3 linked regions of the Cricetulus griseus genome follow. The protein of the gene in region 3 purifies or fractionates together with the protein of the main gene of each other region. This does not show direct contact. Links are inferred from orthologs where the notes say so. Each region holds a gene or a part of one and is shown on either strand. Other genes may lie near its edges. The genes, in order: Asf1b, Nasp and Hat1.

Evidence for each region.
Region 1: the proteins of Hat1 (region 3) and Asf1b purify together in Homo sapiens (affinity purification with mass spectrometry; 6 studies listed by BioGRID and IntAct, counting the BioPlex papers as one, with this or other methods). This does not show direct contact. The link is inferred for Cricetulus griseus from reciprocal best matches to the Homo sapiens genes HAT1 and ASF1B.
Region 2: the proteins of Hat1 (region 3) and Nasp purify together in Homo sapiens (affinity purification with mass spectrometry; 3 studies listed by BioGRID and IntAct, with this or other methods). This does not show direct contact. The link is inferred for Cricetulus griseus from reciprocal best matches to the Homo sapiens genes HAT1 and NASP.

Annotation. Positions count from the first base shown.
Region 1 is NC_048596.1:160,448,246-160,452,077, reverse strand, and holds the end of Asf1b (histone chaperone ASF1B), read left to right. Parts: intron 1-1,046; coding exon 1,047-1,223; intron 1,224-2,273; coding exon 2,274-2,480; 3' UTR 2,481-3,310; downstream 3,311-3,832. UniProt on the Homo sapiens protein: Histone chaperone that facilitates histone deposition and histone exchange and removal during nucleosome assembly and disassembly. Cooperates with chromatin assembly factor 1 (CAF-1) to promote replication-dependent chromatin assembly.
Region 2 is NC_048595.1:35,763,483-35,767,667, reverse strand, and holds the start of Nasp (nuclear autoantigenic sperm protein), read right to left. Parts: upstream 2,893-4,185; 5' UTR 2,770-2,892; intron 2,419-2,769; exon of another isoform or gene 2,345-2,418; 5' UTR 2,306-2,344; coding exon 2,247-2,305; intron 1-2,246. UniProt on the Homo sapiens protein: Component of the histone chaperone network. Binds and stabilizes histone H3-H4 not bound to chromatin to maintain a soluble reservoir and modulate degradation by chaperone-mediated autophagy.
Region 3 is NC_048599.1:103,763,258-103,766,903, forward strand, and holds part of Hat1 (histone acetyltransferase type B catalytic subunit), read right to left. Parts: intron 2,329-3,646; coding exon 2,177-2,328; intron 1-2,176. UniProt on the Homo sapiens protein: Histone acetyltransferase that plays a role in different biological processes including cell cycle progression, glucose metabolism, histone production or DNA damage repair. Coordinates histone production and acetylation via H4 promoter binding.

The sequences.
Region 1 (3,832 bases), on a different chromosome or scaffold from region 3:
TGGGTTTTCCTTACTTTTTACATGTTAGTAAGTAATTATGAAAGTACCACACTTGTTGGTTTTTAAGTTTCTAGATGTATCTAATTGGTGGATTTGTAAACTCAGTGAATATGAAGATGGGCTGTGACTTCCAAATGGTGCTGCTATGTCCAGTCCAGTGTCTAGGCTCATTGGCAAGTGCTAAGGAAATCATGATCCATTACCTCCCTCCTACTGTTTCCCCTATTCCAAGCTACCTGCTCCCCTAACACTCCTGCCTGTTGAGCCAAGGCCTCTTCCAGGGCACATAGCCTGGCCATTGAACATCCCCACTGGGGATGCTCTGCTCTGTGTCATGGATTTGGCTAAGTGTAGGTGTTTTCATTTGCATTGGTTTCATATAACATAGTTGCTCCATCCAGAGCCACACACCCTGATCTGTGATTCTGTTCTCTGTTGCTGGGATTAGTCATCCTGTCCAGGATGACTCCTGACTGGCTTCCCTGCTTCTGCTCAACCTTCTGCAGCTAGACCTCCACATACCTGCACTCTTTTCAGACCTTACCTCTTCTAAACACTGCTCTTTCCCAAGCCCTGAATTTCCCCAGCAGGCCTGGGGCTGCCTCATATCCACCTGACCAACTTCATCTCTTGTCAGTTCCTTTTTGCACCACATTCTGCCTAAACACCCTTGTCTCCTAGTCACATTCCGAAGTTTTGAATTTACTTACTTATTTTTTCCGAGACAGGGTTTCTCTGTGAAGTTTTAGAGCCTGTCCTGGCACTTGTTCTGTAAACTAAGTTGGCTCGAACTCAGAGATCTGCCTGCCTCTGCCTCCCAAGGGCTGGGATTAAAGGCATGTGTCACCACTGCCTGGCTGAATTTACTATTGTTGTTACTAAGACTAAGGACAGAAGGTAGGACTCTGCATACTGAGCAATCATGTTGCCGAGTCAAATTCACCATCTCTTTGTAGCTACCTGTTTGGTCAGTTTTTTTAGTCCAGTTCTTTGGTAGTCTTTGAGTCATGAGTGGCAGTGCTAAAGCCCAGGATGTGTCTCCCCAGGCTGATGCCCCCAATCCATCCCTCATTCCTGAGACCGACGCCGTGGGTGTCACTGTGGTTCTCATCACCTGCACTTACCATGGACAAGAGTTCATCCGTGTGGGCTACTATGTCAACAATGAGTACCCAAATCCAGAGCTTCGGGAGAACCCACCCCCAAAGCCAGACTTCTCTCAGGTGAGGTCTGTCTCTGTACTTCCTGCTTCAGACAGGCCAGTTCCTTTACTGCTAAGGGAGATGGGTGCCCAGGTCAGTGAAGGTTAACAGGTCATGCTGTCTTTGAGGTAGAGCTAGGATGAAGCAAGTCTTTTCTTCTTGAGGCATGCCTGACAGGATCAGGGCTAGAGCTAGGGGGAATGTAGCACACTGTGATCCCAGCATCCCGGTCCTCAGAAGGCTGAGCTGCAAGTATCATAAGTTAGGAGGCCAGCCTTCTCTGCATAATGAGTTCCAGACCAACCTAGGCTACATAGTAAGACCCTGTTTTCAGGTGGGGAGGTGGAGGTGGGGGGGTGCTGGAGGGCCACTGGAGATAGCTTAGCAGTAAGAGCATTGGCTGCTCTTGCAAAGGACCTGGGTTTGATTCCTAGCAACCACATGGTGGCTCACAGCCACCTTTAATTCCAGTTTCAGGGGATCTATGCCCTCTTCTAACCTCCATGGGGATTAGGCACAAATGTAACAAATAGACATGTGTAGGCAAAACATTTATATAATAAAAATAAAGTTTTTTTTTTGTTTGTTTGTTTTTTTTTTAATTAAGTAGGCTGGAGAGAGGACTCAGCAGTTAAGAAACTTGCTGTTCTTCAGAACCAGGTTCAATTCCCAGCACCCACAAGCTGTTACTCTGTGCCCTCTTCTGGCCACCAAAGGCCAGACACACACACACCAGGCACACACGTGGTGCACAGATATATGTGTAGCCAGACACCCATATATATAAAACTTTTTTAAAAATCATGCTAGGCATGGTAGTGCATACTTTTAACCTCAGCACTTGGGAGACAGGGTCAGGCAGATCTCTGTGAGTTCCAGACTAACCTGGCCTACATAGTTGAGACTCTCAAAACAACCCCCCAAAAAACAAATGAACAAACCCAAGCAAAACCAGGATGAGGAAGGCCCTGTTCCTACTCCATAGTGTACAAGCATCTTTTGGGCTCAAAGTGGAGGTAGGAGGGCATCCTGGCCCTTAGGTGATAGGCACTGACACTCTTCTTGCTCCAGCTACAGCGGAACATCTTGGCTTCTAAGCCCCGGGTGACCCGATTCCATATCAACTGGGACAACAACTCAGACAGGCTGGAAGCCACAGAGAACCAGGACCCCAACCCGGACTATGGCCTTCCCCTCAGTTGCACTCCCATCAAAAGCCTGGGCCTCCCTAGCTGCATCTCAGGCCTCCTCCCGGAGAACTCCATGGACTGCATCTGATGGGGGCCAGGCTGGTCCCAGTAGGACCATGGCCAGTCTCCTTGCACACCTAGAGGGGACCTACAGGCCCTCATGCTTGGTCATCTCAAGGATTTGAGGGCCTCTAGCTGCCTCCAGACCTGTCAGCCCCAAGGAAAATATGGACCCCAACCTCTCAGCTCAGGTCCAGAAGAATCCTCTCACTTCTGACCCATCAGCCTCTAAGAAGCAGGTACTCATATGCTCATTCTTTGTGTCATTTTTTCTTCTATACTATCAGTGCCTTTGAGAAGCTCTTTGAATATCACCTTCCTTGAAGCTTGTTTGGGCAACGCTTGGCTAGCCTTTGGCCAAAGGTTGTCACTCCTTCTCACTCCAGTTCTTGGTGTCTCAGGCAAGGAATACTGGTTAGAAGGCAGACTTGGTACCACCAGTGTCCTTCCAGGGTGTCTAGGTCATTTAAGTCTAACCACTGCTAGAAAAATCCCCAAAGGTAAGCTCCCCAGGCCATGAAGGTATGGTGGGTACTTTGGTTACAGCCACCTTCTCATTGTGACTGAGCCTAGCTTTCTAAGAGGATTGCCTTGGGTAGGAGGCATGTTGGAGGTCCTGCTTCATGGAGTTATCAGGGTTTGCTTTGATGACATATTCTCATGAGCTACCCAATACTCCAGGATAAGGAGGCATTTGGCAGGCTGACCTGAGAAACTCCCACTCCATCTACCCTTACCCTAAGCCCTGGGTCCCCTTGCTGCTGCTACATGGATGCTATTGTGAGTGCAGTGTGTATATGAAAATGCTTTTATATTAAAAGTTTTGGTTGGTTTAAAAATAAAAGCACTTCATCTAGATTGTTCAGTTCTGGTTTTTTTTTTACCCCCCACCTGGCATGCCTAGAACTCACTATGTAGAACAGGCTGGCCTCAAACTCACAGAGATCCACCTGCCTCTGCCTCCCGAGTGCTGGGATTAAAGACATGTGCCATCAACACCCGGCCTGTTTTTTTGTTTGTTTGTTTGTTTGTTTTCTTCTTCTTCTTTCTTCTTTCTTCTTCCTTCTTCTTTCTCCTCCTCCCTCCTCCTTCCTCCCTCCTCCTCCTCCTCCTCCTCCTTTTTTTCTGAAACAAGACTTCTGTGTAGCCTTGGCTGCCTTGAACTTGCTCTGTAGACCAGGTTGGCCTTAAACTGAGAGATCCGCCTACCCCTGCTTCCCAAGTGCTGGGGTTAAAGACATGTGCCACCACTACCTGGCCTAAACATTAAGTGATTCTTTTTTGTTTTTTGAGACAGGGTTTCTCTGTATAACAGCTCTGGCTGTCCTGGAACTCTGTAGACCAGGCTGACCTCAAACTTACAGACATCTGCCTGTCATT
Region 2 (4,185 bases), on a different chromosome or scaffold from region 3:
CTCATTATACAATTTCCTGACAGACAAGATTTTTCATGGAAATTGAAGAAATGAAAACTCAAAATAATAATTTGACAATCTCTCCATTCTAAACTTGACTTTTCTGACGTGTAGAAAAATTTAAGACTTCACACTATAGTCATGTGAGTCAATAAGAATTTACTTAATGAGACTGAAGATGGATAGATGAGCAGTTAAGAGCCCTCGTTATATGCCTGTCGGTAGTGGTGCAAGTCTTTAATCCCAGCATGGGGAAGGCAAAGACAGATGAATCTCTGAGACCAGCCTGGTATGTACAACTTTATGCATGCCAGAAAAGGGCATCAAATCCCACTATGGCTGTGAGCCACCATGTGGTTGTTTGGAATTGAACTCAGGTCCTCTGGAAGAGTAGCCAGTGGTCTTAACTGCTAAGCCATCTCTCCAATCCCATAACATTTTTTTAATTGACTCAAAATAATAATAATAATAATAAAAACTATAGACAAAAAACAAAGCCGGTCTGTGGTGGTACAGGCCTTCCTTTAATCCCAGCACTTGGGAGGCAGAGGCTGGCAGATCTCAGAGTTCGAGGCCAAACTGGCAGAGGCAGGTGGATCTCAGTGAGTTTGAGGTCAGCCTGATCTACAAAGAGAATTCCAGGAGAGCTAGGACTGTTACACAGAGAAACCCTGTCTTGAAATAAATAAATTCTACAGATTTTCCTAACTCAAGCTACTCTGGCCCTAAGAAATCAATGAGGAGGCAGGAAATTGGTGATTTGAGAAACACTGCTTTTCAAGAATCCACTAGAAAAGGAACCAAAAGGTGACAGGTAAAGTATGCAAAGATACGTTAATATCTGGTACAACTGTACTAATTGAAAAGTCAACTAGTATGCCTAAACCTACAGCAAAAAAAAAAAAAAAAAAAAAACACTCAAAAACCCCACAGCCAACTTTACTTTTACCAGAGGAAAAACTTCTAAAATGTACAGGGACGGAAAAAAATATTAGCAGGCACAGGAAGATTTGGTGGACTTTGCAGAGCCCCCCGTTGAGGGCCCTACCCTGCCTGGGGAGTGGTGGGTGGATGGAGTGGGGGTAGGCTGGGGGTGGGGGAGGAGGGATGGGGTGAGGGGAGGGAGAGGGAGAGAGAGAAGGGATTTACATGTGAACAAGCTTGTTCCCTAACTAGAACTAATAAATAAATTAAAAAAAAAATATTAGCAGGCACCTAAAAGACAAGGGAAGATTGGAAAGTAGGACCTACTGTACGGAAAACTTGTTTCCTCCAAATGATGGGCCGTTTCTGTGCACTATCCAAAAAAGTAGCTCATGTTTGATTAGCACTGTGAAGCTCTCAAAGCAATTATTCCCTCTTGGGGGGGGGGGGGTCCTTTTATCTTAGCAGACTCATCTAGCAAGTACGGAATTCTCCGTGTAGCGTTTACCGAAGAAGCCATCAGTGTGAAAATGACCCCTGGAGCAACCAAATCTCCGACCCACACACGGAAAGTCTAAGGACACCCTGAGGGTTCTCAGCAAAAGCGGAGAGTCGCAGGGCTTCGGTCGCGTAACGACCCCGCGGGTTACAGTCAACTACACAGTCAACGAGATAAACTTCACTGCGCCCAGCGGCTGCCGCAGGAGCCGCTCCAAACCCCAAACAATGGAGTTTTCCCGCCTCCTCGAGGCCCCGCCCCCGTCTCCAGAGCCGGGACACGGAACGCACGCGTGCAAAGTCCCGCCCTCCTCGAGGCCCCGCCCACTCGGGTCCCTCAGGTCTGAGCCTCAATCCTCGTGTGTAGGTTTTTTTTTTTTTTTTTTTCTTTTGGCGCCAAATCTGTTGGTCGTTTTCTAGATTCCTCTACAGACTCTCCCGCTAGTGCGCCGAGAGTAAGAGCTCAAGAGGGGACCGGCGACGGGGGGGCCCCGCCTCCCCACCGGCGGCAGCCCCGGGCCGGGGGAGGAAGAAAAAGGGCAGGCGATGGAGACAGCCGCCGCTGCCCCCGGCAAGATGGCGGCCGCGGAAAGCCGGGCAGGGGGCGCCAGCCGCCCGCCGTTAGCGCCGGTCGCCAGCGCCGCCTGAGGGGGGGGCTTCTCCACAGCCCCGCTCCCTCCGGACAGCCGCAGTTCTCCAGGGAAAGGCAGCTGTCCCACCCCCCCGCCGGGCCCGCCGCCCGCCCGCCCTCCGGCCCGCGAAGCCAGTCCACAGCTCTCCCCACGGACTGGCCAGCGCCTCCCGCTCGCCACAGTCCGGCTTACTTGTCAGCGGAAGCCAGCTCTCCGGCGACGGCAGTAGTGGCTGTAGACTCTGTGGCCATCGTTCCCCTGACGCGGTGGGCCGGTGGGCAGAGCACTGCCTGTGGAGAGAACAGAGAATTCAGGACAGCAAAGACTTACTCAGGCACAGAAAATGGCAGATTGGAGACCCCGCGCGGTTGGGGCCCTCTTATATATCGGGGCCGCTTGCCCCGCCCATCCACTTCCGGATCCTCCCCCTTGGGTTTAAAGGGCCAGAACTCAACACCTCTCCGTCACAAGGACACCTCCCCGCAGCCCTTCCCGTTTGGGTATCTTCCCGCCCGGGCCCGCTTTTCCTTGGAAAGAAAAGAAAATCGAACAACAAAAGAACTTCCTGCTCCCGGTAGCTGGCCGTGTTAGAAGCACCAGAATCTTGGCACTACAACTTCTGATGGAGCCAGCCAGAGCCTCCACGTTAAGTGGAGCCAGTGAGTCTCTGCGGGCGTGGAAAGAGTAGCCGAGGGTTTCTTTCTGGCGGGGATACCCGAGAAGGTGACAGGTCTTCTGTATGCCCTCTCAGTCTTAACGGATGGAAACGCAAGAGCCGAGCACGAGTACAACAGCAACGGCTAGAACTGACCCGAGAGACTCGTGGCTCTGGGCCTCAGCAACTACTGACGAAAGAAGGTGCTGCTCTACGATTGGCTACAGATGAAACTATCGCGCTAGATTCAAAACTCAGAGGGGCAAAGGAGTAGGGATGTTTCCTCCTCTCTCTAGATCCACGCGCCTTTGGCTGGCCCAATCCAGTGACGCCCTCATCTGACACCCTACCCACATTCCAACACTGAGTTGTTGAGCTGAATCCCTGTACTTAAAACACTTTAAATTTTTTAGCTATCTTACTTCTATCTTTAGTACATATGAAAGGGACTCACACTATGTCCCTGGCTGGCCTCTAACTCACAGAGATTCGCCTCCCAAGTGCTGAAATTACAAGTGAGCTCCACCATACCCATCTTATTTTACAACTGTCAGTAACTCCGCTTCCAGGGTATCCAGTGTCGTCCTCTAACCTCCAGAAGCCCTAGGCACACACATGGTTCACGTATATGCATGCAAGTAAGCACTCACACATATAAAATAAAGTGGAATCTTTTAAAAATAACTTTTTTGGTGGGGCGTGGTGGCCTACGCTTTTAATCCCAGCACTCAGGAGACAGAGGCAGGTGGATCTCCCTGAGTTCAAGGCCAGCCTGATCTACCAAGCTAGACTCCGGACAACCAGAGTACACCGAGAAACCTTTTTTGTTTTTGTTTTTGAGGCAGGGTTTCTCTGTGGCTTTGGAGGCTGTCCTGGAACTAGCTCTTTTAGATCAAGCTGGCCTGTAACTCATAGAGATCTGCCTGCTTCTGCCTACCGAGTGCTGGGACTAAAGGCATGCACCACCACCACCCTGCAAGAAACCATTTCTTGAAAAACAAAACTAAATAATAATAATAAAAATAACTTGTTTAAAAGGTCAGGTGTGGTCACAAACACCTTTAGTCTCAACACTCTAGAGACATTCGGGATCTCTGAGTTCCAGGCAGTCTGATTTATATAGTGAATTCCAGGACAACCAAGAAACATAATGAGATCCTGTCTCAAATATTTTTAATTTTTAAAATTATGTACAGGAAGCCAGGCGTTGATGGCTCACAAAGATCTGCCTACCTATGCCTCCCAAGTGCTGAGATTAAAGATGTGCACCACCACTGACCAGCTTTTTAAATTTTTTTTAATGTTAAACAAGATAAGATATTTAAATCAGGAACCCTTATTGTTGTTTTGTTTCTTGAGACAGGGTTTCTCTGTGTAGACCTAGCTGTCCTAGAACTTGCTCTGTAGACCAGGCTGGCCTCAAATTCAGAGATCTGCCTGCCTCTGCCCCCTGAGCACTGGGATTTTGTTTGTTTT
Region 3 (3,646 bases):
GGAAGCCACTAATGGGCAGAAGATAGCGAGTTTCAGTTCACATTGTATTGCTGAAAGTAATCAGCAGATTTTTGGCTGTGGTTCTGAAAACCATACTCTAGATTTGATGGTTTAGATGAAATCTCCCAAGAAGAATGAGGGAAAAATGAGTATGAAGAAGAGTTACATTTAAGAAGCATCTGAGGGTTGGAGAGATGGCTCAGAGGTTAAGAGCACCAACTGCTCTTCCAGGAGTCCTGAGTTCAATTCCCAGCAACCACATGGTGGCTTACAACCATCTGTTATGAGATCTGGTGCCCTCTTCTGGTGTGCAGATATACATGGAAGCAAAATGTTGTATACATAATAAATTAAAAAATCCTAAAAAAAAAAAAAAAAAAAAAAAAGCACCTGAAAGAATAAAAACTAGCTGGGCAGTGATGGGGCATACCTCACAGCACTTGGGAGGCAGAGGCAGGCAGATCTCTGTGAGTTAGAGACTAGCCTGGTTTACAAGAGCTAGTTCCAGGACAGGCTCCAAAACTACACAGGGAAACCCTGTCTTGAAAAAAACAAAACAAACAAACAAAAAGAATAGAAACTAGCAGAAGTGTTACAATTAGGGTTAAAATGTGCACGGATTACAGGAACCATGAAGCTCTCAAAGCCAAGGTGGCCAGCAGTATCAAATGGCTTCCTTAACACTGAACCCATGTATTTCATACTCCAACCCCTACCCATTCTTTAGTTTTTACAAAAGGCTATTCTGCCAAGACAAATTAGAAAAAGAAGTGCAAGAGTTGAATGCATCAAGAAGGAAATTTCACCAGGCAGTGGTGGTGCACACCTTTAATCCCAGCACTTGGAAGGCAGAGTCATGTGGATCTCTGTGAGTTGAAGCCAGACTGGTCTACAGACTGAATCCCAGGACAACCAGGGCTGTTACACAGAAACCCTGTCTTGAAACCCCACCACAAATGGAAATTCTATTAACTTTATTAGTTACAATGTGAATTTTCACACTAAAACTCATTTGAATGTGAAAAAAAGCACTGCCTTCCCCATGAAGTGCCCTGAATCTCTTTCATAAATATGTACTAACATATATAACTTCTTTGACATCCCATGTTTTTCCTATCCCTATATTTACTACTTTAAAATTTAAACAAATATATAGCATAAAAAAATGGGAGCTAGCAAGATGGCTCAGTGGGTAAAGATATATGCAGCCAACCCTGATTACCTGAGTTTAATCCCTGGAGCCAACAAGGTAGAAGGAGAAAATCAATTCTAGGGAGTTGACCACTGACCTTCACACTTGCACAAAAGAAAGTGTATTGCCCCCCCAACATTAAAAAAAAATATAGAAAATGAAAATTACACATTTTCTTACTACTTTTCTACCAATACATCTCCAGGGATAGAATCACTTCACAGTTTAGTGTTTTAGGGCTGGAGAGACAGCTTAGAAGAGCACTGGCTGCTCTTCTAGAAGACCTGGTTCCATTCTCAGTACCTACATGGTGGTTCACAACTGTCAGTTTCAAGGGATCAGATACCTTTTAATTTCCTTGGTTACCAGGCACACATATAGCATAGACATACATGTAGGCAAAACAACATACACATAAAATCTTGCACCCAAAAACTTAAATTAAAAAAGATTTTACTGAATTTTCATATGGGGATGGTGGTGGTACAAGACTTGTACCAAGGGCCATGTTAGAACTCCGAGGACAACTTTCTGGAGTTGCCTTTCCACTTTCACCATGTGGATCCTGGGGACTAAATTCAAGTCATTAGGCTTGGTAGCAAACTCCCTTACCCACTAAGCCATTCCGCCAGTACAGTTTATCCTTTTACTCATCTTTGCTCTGATTATTATACTTAGTACAACAAAAAAAAATATTCTCTTCTCATTTATCAATAAGGAAAGTGAATACTTAGTAGTACAGTGTAACGTATTCCCTCATCACTCTGTCAATTAGGAAAGTGAGGTACAAACCATAAACTAAACTGCTTTAGGAGACAGAGCCAAGTTCTAGATGTAGGCTGGAACCTGGACATATGACTTCAGAACCTACAGTCTAACCACTGTTGCTTCCCACACATCTTAATGTCCTTACAATAGTTTAGTCAAGTACTTAAAATTATTTTTTAGATGTTTATCGCCTACAAGCTAAAAATCAAAAAATACCTTATTTATTTTGAACTTCTGTTGTGCTTGTATTGCCATATCTTCATTGAATCCTTGCATTAATCTTTCCCGGGAGAAACAGGGCAAATCTTGACAAAGCTTCACAAGCACAAAGTCTCTTAGTTTTACATAGCTTTTGGATGGATCTTCAGCTAAAAAAAAAAGAAAAGAAAAATATGTCACTGCCCTTACCCAACACAGTTCCACCACCATTTATAATCTCAGTAATATGGTAACATTCTGAAAAGAAAATTATATACCCAAAAGTCACAATATTAAGATAATTTCTGATAACTATTGTATTAAGTAAAATGGCAGGTATGCTTTACAAAGACATTTATACTATTTATGAAATGAGAGCTGCTCATTTTACACATCCATTGTTTGACTGGAATGTTACCACATGCATCTTCATTTTAACTGCAGTCAAATTAGCCATATAAATAAAATATTCAGGTTTGGACAATAATTTCAAATGCATTCATTTTTTTGGTAGCTAAGGATTCCAAGGTCAACCATCAGTTTATTTTTTTTAAGGCACTGGGCCTAGTGGCCCATGTCTTCATGTATGTATGTATGTATTTATTTATTTATTTTTATTTTATGTGAATTGGTGTTCTGCCTGCATGTATGTCTGTGTGAGGGTATCAGATCTTGGATTTATGGACAGTTGTAAGCTGTCATGTGGATGCTGGGAATTGAACCCGGGTCCTCTGGAAGAGCAGTGGGTGCTCTTAATCACTGAGCCATTTCTCCAGCCCAGCTATCACTTTCTTTTAAAAGAATTTTTGTAAAAAAAATAAATAAATAAAAGGAAAAAATAAAAAAATAAAAGAATTTTTGTTGTTTTTTTGAGACAAGGTTTGTCTGTAGCTTTGGAGCCTGTCCTGGAACTCACTCTGTAGACCAGGCTAGCATCGAACTCAGAGATCCGCCTGCCTCTGCCTCCCAAGTGCTGGGATTAAAGGTGTGCGACACCACTGCCTGGCTTAAAAGACTTTTTAATTCATTGCTTTAGAATTTCATACAGCATATAATGTGTTTTAATCAAGCCCCCTTTTTATTCTCTACTCCAAGTCTTCCCATATTCCCCAAATGTAGCAACTGTACATTCCAACAGCAACATTCCCCAACAGCTTTTTTTTAAAAAAATATTTTATTTATTTATTATGTATATAACATTCTGCTTCCATGCATATCTGCACACCAGAAGAGGGCACCAGATCTCATAACAGATAGTTGTGAGCCACCATGTTTTTGCTGGGAATTGAACACAAGACCCCTGGAAGAGCAGTTGGTGCTCTTAACCTCTGAGCCATCTCTCCAACCCAATCCAACAGCTTTTACTACCCTCCAATAATAATTCTTGAAGAATATGGTAAGGACACAATTTTGATCCTTCTTTCATTTCTGAATATCACACATCTTTTATGTTTCCCCATGGTGCAACTACATTAAATTAAGTAGCAA